Linked DNA regions of Coturnix japonica. The protein of the gene in region 2 binds, or shares a complex with, the protein of the main gene of each other region. Links are inferred from orthologs where the notes say so. Each region holds a gene or a part of one and is shown on either strand. Other genes may lie near its edges.

Region 1 (3,750 bases), on a different chromosome or scaffold from region 2:
TAGAGTCAGATGAAAAAGAAAGCCTCTTCGTTTACTCAAGCTGTTAATCCATCATTTTCCCATTATACGTTTCGTGTAAATCTGTCTTTAGGTTAGTGTCAATTAAATCATTTTATCTGCCATTCCTACAATTGATGCTATCATTCTCACGATTTTCCATGGTTTCTTTTCTTCCTTAAGAGTTCTAAACCTCACTGCTTAGAGAGGAGAATTACAGTTTGGTCTGAAGCCTGGCTTTCATAGTTCAGCTTAAAAACAGCCTTCTGCTCAACTCCGTGGTTTATTTTCCTACTGAGGTGGCTCTTCAGCATCTGATTCCTCCACTGATGTATTTCTTGGTTTCATTTTGTGAGGAAGTGTTAAATCCAGAGAAAAATCCCAACTCAGTATGGGTTGAACAGCAAAAATGTCTTTTAGTTGTGATTGATGTGGTAATACAATCTATTTAATTTTTTAACAAAAACTGTAAGAACAATGAATGACTGTTTATATAGAATGATCTGGAAAAAGTGGATTTGAGGTGTATTTCAGCAGGAGCTGGAGATACAGTGGCTCTTTTTCCTGTGGAGCTTACTGAGAGATAAGTGAAAAAGGAAGAAATGATTCTGCTACTGAAGCTGTACAGCCAGGATAAAGGATGCAGTAAATAAATAGTGAAAGTATTCACACAGTGATGCTCAGTTTCATGAAAAATGTGTTTTTCTTCCCAGGTGGTATCAAGGTGCTTAGAGACCGTCTTCAGGTATGTATGCAAAACCTCTAATTTTATATAAGTAGTCAAAGTGAATTCTAGACTTGAGAGATGAGTTACAAGACACAACTGACTCCCATATACTGGCGTAATCCCAGCAAAACTTTGATGTTACAGGAAGAAACTATTCTATCAGGGGGAGGTCATCATCCAACTGACTAGAACTGATTCTATTAAGAGCTGTGGAGATGATGTCTGTCTTTGAGTCTGTTTCAGTATTTACTGGTGAGCCACTGACATGTAGTACCACAAGCAAGTTCAGTTACTGTTCTTTTCTGCACTGGAAACTATTATAGATTTTGTAATATTGGTGTTTTAACTGTAAATTCATAAGTTTACCGTAACTGAGCATGGAGGTCACAAGTTCAAGGCTTTCTGTGACAAAATCTAATTCTGAAAGGGAAAGACATACATTAATTTCCAGTAGAGTACAGACACTGACAGCTCTGGGTGTCCAAGAGCTATGAAGAATTCTGGATGCCAGCAAGACTGTGAATGGCTCCAAAGATCTAAAAACATAATGATAGTTTGCTGGTAAATGGAGACATTATCACAGAGCAGCTGTATTACCCAGCTCTTGGTACCTCAGCTGCTCATTATTAACCTATCAAGGCAGAAGCTGATGACATTGCATATATCTGAAAGTCATGTAGATACACAGCTGTATCACTTTTAAGGTAGTTTACTCTGTAAGTGTTTGAGAAACCTCTGGATTATTTTTTTCCTTCCTATGTGTAGAACTTGCTGCTTCCTTAATGGATGTAGAACTGAAAATATGGTAGGGTATTTTTTTTCTTTAGGAAACAAAAAACATAAAACAAAGGCAGGAATAGGTGAAAGGTCCTTTTCTTTGTCCTCCCAAAGCTTTTACTATTGTTTTTCTCCCATTTTTCCAATTTGTAATTCCTGCAATTTTCACTGAGAGTATCTTTTGTCCATTTTACCACCTGCAGCTCAGTGTCAAATAGAACTAAATATTATAGGTACCTTCCGTATGAAGGGCCATTTTCTGATCCAAATTACACTGGTATCAACCAATAATTTCCTGTTATTAGACCACTCAGTGTGCTAATAGTGCTGTTATTCACACTACATATATCATTACAACAAAACTGTCTCCATAATAAATCTTTTAAAATGGTTTTCACTTCAGGAGGCACATTGATTTTTAGGCTACTAGTGTATTTAAGAAAGAAAAAATAGAGCAAAAGGTTTGGAGGAATGTTCTGAAAATAATAATATTGCTATAAACACAATAATACTGTGAAAAATATTGCTTAATTCTACATAAAACTTAAAGGAGAAACAAATATTTGGCAGATTTAGTGACAATTAGCCAACAGCTTCAAACCTATCAAGGATGGGTTGCCAGCCAATGCAATTACACAAGCTTAATTTCCTAAAGATGTCAGACTGAAATAGAAGCTCTCCTAATGAGAGTTTATATAATAGCCTGAGGAAAGCCCCGAGATTCTGAAATAGAAATTCTAAGAAATACCATTTGTCAGGGTTCCTGGTTCTCTCTATAGTGGATCAATATATGTTGCGGATCCTGCTGTATTTTTCTAGTCCCCTGCATCCCCAGATTACTGCTATTTGGGCAAAGTGGCTGCATGTAGTAGAGCCTCTGCTCCACCACTGTCATTTATATTATAGGGCCAATCAGGGAAGGGAATGGTTTCACAGACACTCCTCTCACAATCAAACATGATAACTCTGATCTTGGTTCAAATGTAGTGTTTGTATATTGCATACATTGCAACGTTAAACAAACTAAAAATGCAGTTTGTTTAAAAAAAAAAACAAACAAAACTTCGCATACATTGCAAATAACATTAGTCCCTTATCTGACATAACATTATAACTCAGTTAGAATTTCTGCACTGGCTTTGAAATCACTTAAAATTTACAAAGGAAGTTTTCCAGATGTGGAAAGGGTTTGGCACACTTGTTCTCTGACAGGGAAGCGTTATCTGAACAGGGAGTGCTCCCACATCTTCTCAATGGAAAAAGAAATAGGGAAACAATGATGTTCTGATTTCTCACCTCTAAGTCTTTTTCACCTGAAGCCCTGGGGTGAGAATGCACTAATAGCAAATAAAAGGCACAAAGTGTTCTCCACATCACACCTGAAAACCTTCAAAACACTAAACCAACCCAGCTAAAACAATTTCATCTCAGGCTTAAATCTATTCTCAGTGGCCTAACTTTCAAATGTAGCATTTCAGCTCCAGCAGAAGTAATAAATGTTATGATCTGTTGAGAAGAGATTATGGTTCAGAAGAGATTATGCAAGGCTGAAATTTACCTTAAAATTATCTTTGTTCTCACTTGTGATTCAGGAGGATGCAAAACTTCAGTTACATTTGTTAGGATCTATAGTGAGATCCTGATGTGCGCTGAGCACTGAGAATCACTTCTGATTCTCAATGGGAACACGAGTGCTTAAGAGCTTTCAAAATCCTCATTTCCATCGATGCTTTGGACATACGAGTTAGACATATAGGCCTTTTTTTTTTTTTTTTTTTTTTTAAGTTTAAAGACTGACTGTGGAGTGAGGGGGAGAAATGTCAGTTATCTCTGCTGCATGTGACATTTTCCATGGGTCTGCAGAATAAAAATGCCAATATTATCACATGCAGGATAGGTTGAATTAGTTACCCACACAATGGTTTTCTATTGCTGAAAAAGGATGTTTATGAATTCAATTGGGGGGGGATGGGGGAGAGAAAGGGTAGGAAAGCTGCTTACTTTATGGCTTTTTGTCTTTTGTAGGCATGAATGGTGCTTATTCTTTCCAGTGGCTACAGAGGGAGCCCGTGCTCTTAATTTAGATCAGCATTTGCTCAATGCAAGGTATCTGCTTATTTGCTTGGGAGAAATCAGCAGAAAGCTGGAAGTTTGAGGCAAGCCAAAACCAAGGGCTATTAAGGTGCAGACAGTCTGTTAAAATGTATCCTTAGAAAAAGGCGCACAGACAAATTCCCAAACAAATCTCT
Region 2 (3,650 bases):
GTTTTCTGCCCAAATTAGCCATGTTTCTGGCACAAATCCCTGCACAACTCTCCACCTTCTCAAGGGATAGACACAGTTCACAGTATTTAATACTGTTTTAACACTAACTTCCTCTGGGTTGCAGTGGACACATCAAAGCCATGGTAGAGATATGGACTAAAAGGGATATGTTTTAGCCACAAAACTGAATTCTGGAGTTATAAATGATTCTTAACACATCCCTGAGAAGTAAGCTGCAAGATTTACTGACACCCTCAGAAATCAGACAGGGAGCTATAAACATGTTCTTACTGCAGGCCTTCCCCACTCCTTCATCCTTAGAATTTCAAACTGATGAAGTCCCATTACTGACTATGATGTCACTAAGTTTAAAAGGATTTACAGTCAAGAAAAAATGCAATTTCCTCCTGAAATCATACAGTAGGGTTAAATTTATATTAGTATAAGCTTGTATTTACACTGTAATTTTTTAGTCAAATAATTTTTAAAAAGGAAAAAATACAATTTTTGGAGCTGCAAGATCACCAAATATGTTATAAATTCAAGTGTGGTCTGATAGAGACTTAATAACTTCAGTGATTGGAATCTGAAAAAACTGAAAGCTTAGTATAACAGCAACATTGTGCTAGACTGTTCTCCTACTGCCAGATCTAACCCAGAAAATGACTAGCTATAGATAAGCCCTTCTTTTCCACTTCTTTTTTCTTGTATGTTTGTGCTCCTAGCAGTAACTTCAAATTGCTTCTTCATATGAAGGACTGGACACAAATGTCATGTGTGCACCAGCATGCCTTCAGTATTATTTTATTGATTCCACGTAGACAACACTGACATGTAAGGAGGCATTTTCATGTGAGTTAGCCCTCCATAACTGACCAGTAAGTCTGTGGAGAAAAAGGCACCTGACAAAGCATCACAAAATTATTTAACAACTTTGAAAAGCTGGACACGAGCCACCTGTGTGTTCTTGCAGCTTGGAAGGCCAACTGCATCCAGGGCTGCATCCACAGTGGGGTGGCCAGCAGGGCAAGGGAGGTGACTGTCCCCCTCTACTCTTCCCTTATGAGACCCCATCTGGAGTACTGCATCCAGGCCTGTGGCACAGAGCACAGGAAGGAAGTGGAGCTCTTGGAATGTGTCCAGTGATGATGATTACAGGGCTGGAGCACCCCTCCTATGAAGAAAGTTTGAGAGTGGTGAGGAATTGGAACATGTTGCCCAGATCCACCCTGTGGATGTCCCAAACATAGAAGTGTTCAAGGCCAGGTTGTGTGGGACCCTGAGTGGCTTGATCTGGTGGGTGGTGGCCATGCCCACATCAGGGGGTTGGAACTAGGTGATCTATAAGGACTCCTCCAACCTAAGCCATTCTATGGTTATACGATCTTCAGCAAAGACCAGAACAAGGGCACAAGAATGCAAGCTTGCAGATGACACCAAACCTGTGTGGATAGCAGATACATTGGAGTGAAGAGTTTTCTTTTGGAAGCGCCTGATGAGCCAGAGAATGAACAAAAGTTATCAAATTAATAAATTACAACAAAACCACATCAAAAATCAGGCTGACTGAATGCAATTCCACTGAAAAAAATATGGGGTAAAGGGAGATGATTTGTCTCCTCTGCTCAATACTCATGAGAAAGCACGTGGAACATGCTGCCCAGTTTGGAACATTCCGGTGCATGAGAGGGATGGCCAAGCTGCAGCAAGTCCAGTGGAAGTCCAGGGACTTTGAACCTCATTTTTTCAGCTTGAAGAAGATGGGGAGAAACTCTAATTGTCATCTATTATTATGCATGTTCGGTTAGATTGAAGATTTTTCTCAAGGGCATGGTGAGAGGACAGAGGGAAATGGTTGCAAGCTACATTAAGAGAAATCCCAGCTATGACTGATGAGCTGCTGAATTTCTGTCCTTGTAAATCTTCAAAACATACCTAGACAAGAAGTGATATGGATGTGAGGGCAGCCCTGCCTTGAGAGGATCCCAAGAGGTTTCTTCAACTTAATTTGCTCTATGATTGCAGGGGTCATGAACATAAATGGTAAAAGTATATCACGCTACAGCTAACAATACATCCTCAAAATACTGAGGCCCTCACACTTTTTATTTATAATTTATATTACATACTTTGTACCAATTTAAATGTATCCTTCCAAAATTTTCCATTTTAGAGTTACATTGTATCAAACCTCTGTTAGAACTTCTAAAGGATTGCTGTTTTTAAACACTTACACATTGCTTGGATTTACTTCATGGAACATAATATTTTAAAATATATATTCATATTGCACATTTAAAACTGTACTTCCATCTCGGACTCAATAAAGTTAACAAAACACGCACACACACACATAAGACACATGCAACAGCTGAAGGAAAGCTTTCCTCAGACAAATTTCCATTTTGATGGAACTTCACACAGGCCATAAACAAAACCTTATATAGTGTACACAAAAGTTCTGTGTATGCAGTAAGGCAGGCATACAAAGAGGTAAAAAGTACATCATCGTTCACTATGTTACATTAAAAAGATAGCTGAACAGATAAAATCGGTGTTGCCTCTCTAAAGCAATCTCCTCAAATTGTACATTGGTTATTTCAACTCAAAGTCAGATCCCATCTTTACTTTAAAAATGGAAAAGACATTGGCAAAACAACCTGAACAGAGAATGAAACTTTTCCTCTCTGAAATTGTTGTCCCACAGTACTTATTATCTGTAAGTCAGAAAAATTAGCCATCTTTTTGCTTCTATAGAGTAAGATGTGAGAAAATTCAGTGATTTACCCATACCGACAAATACCTCTTGTATGTTACATTTGAATGCTTATGCACATTATGCTTAATGAATAGGAACACACACAAGTCATCTCCAATGTTTTGTTTCTTCTGAATTATCTTTCAAAGGTCAGGAGCTTCATTTGGCAAAGCAACAATATAAGGGAGCAGCCCACTTTTCCTTCATACCAGTTTCATGAACATTTGACACAAATGCAACTTCATTATCTTAAATACCTATTAGCTTTATCAAGAAAAAGCTGCGATAAAGCTCATTGTGCTTTGTTTTCCAGAAGTGTCGTTCATTCACACAACTGAAGAGCCAGCAAACAGGACTTTCTAAAGTTCACACATGCGTACAGTTTGTAGATGGTGGTGTATCTATCCGACTCTTATTTTCTTTAGCATCATTCAGAGGTGATTCGTTACCTATCTGGCACTTGAAAACTTGTTTGTAGGCCTTTCTAAAATTTTCAGAGAGAAATGCATAAATAATTGGGTTTACAGAAGAATTGCTGTAAGCCAGGCAGTGTGCAGCTATCCTGAAGAGAAATGAAGCTTGAGTCAGTGGGAAAACTCCAAATTCAGCCCAGAGATGAATCACATGATGGGGCAGCCAGGAGATGCCGAAAACCACTACCACCACCAACACAGTCTGTGCTGTCTGAGACAGGGAAAGGAAAACACAGATGTCTTATGAGTATTAAAAACAAGCTTATTTAAATAATTACTTGATAATAATAATAATAAAAGTAGACAGATAGAACACACTTTTGAATGTTTATTAATCATTTAACTTCATTACCTACATGGACTTTATTCTGTAGTACTGCAAGAAGAACATTAGCTTCCATAGCAAAAGAGAAACACAT

The links. The genes of interacting proteins can lie anywhere in the genome.
Region 1: the proteins of GALR1 (region 2) and GAL are in contact, whole or in part, in a cryo-EM structure (PDB 7WQ3), measured with the Homo sapiens proteins. The link is inferred for Coturnix japonica from reciprocal best matches to the Homo sapiens genes GALR1 and GAL. Residues at the interface, in NP_001471.2 of Homo sapiens: Glu32, Gln92, Thr94, Val95, Tyr96, Leu98, Pro99, Thr100, His112, Gln174, Phe177, Arg180, Gln184, Phe186, Cys187, Trp188, Glu189, Gln190, Ile266, His267, Ala270, Phe275, Leu277, Ser281, Phe282, Arg285; in NP_057057.2 of Homo sapiens: Gly33, Trp34, Leu36, Asn37, Ser38, Gly40, Tyr41, Leu42, Leu43, Gly44, Pro45, Val48.

What each region holds. Positions count from the first base shown.
Region 1 is NC_029520.1:8,165,390-8,169,139, forward strand, and holds the start of GAL (galanin peptides), read right to left. Parts: upstream 2,505-3,750; 5' UTR 1-2,504. UniProt on the Homo sapiens protein: Endocrine hormone of the central and peripheral nervous systems that binds and activates the G protein-coupled receptors GALR1, GALR2, and GALR3.
Region 2 is NC_029517.1:81,385,765-81,389,414, forward strand, and holds part of GALR1 (galanin receptor type 1), read right to left. Parts: intron 3,443-3,650; coding exon 3,125-3,442; 3' UTR 1-3,124. UniProt on the Homo sapiens protein: Receptor for the hormone galanin. The activity of this receptor is mediated by G proteins that inhibit adenylate cyclase activity.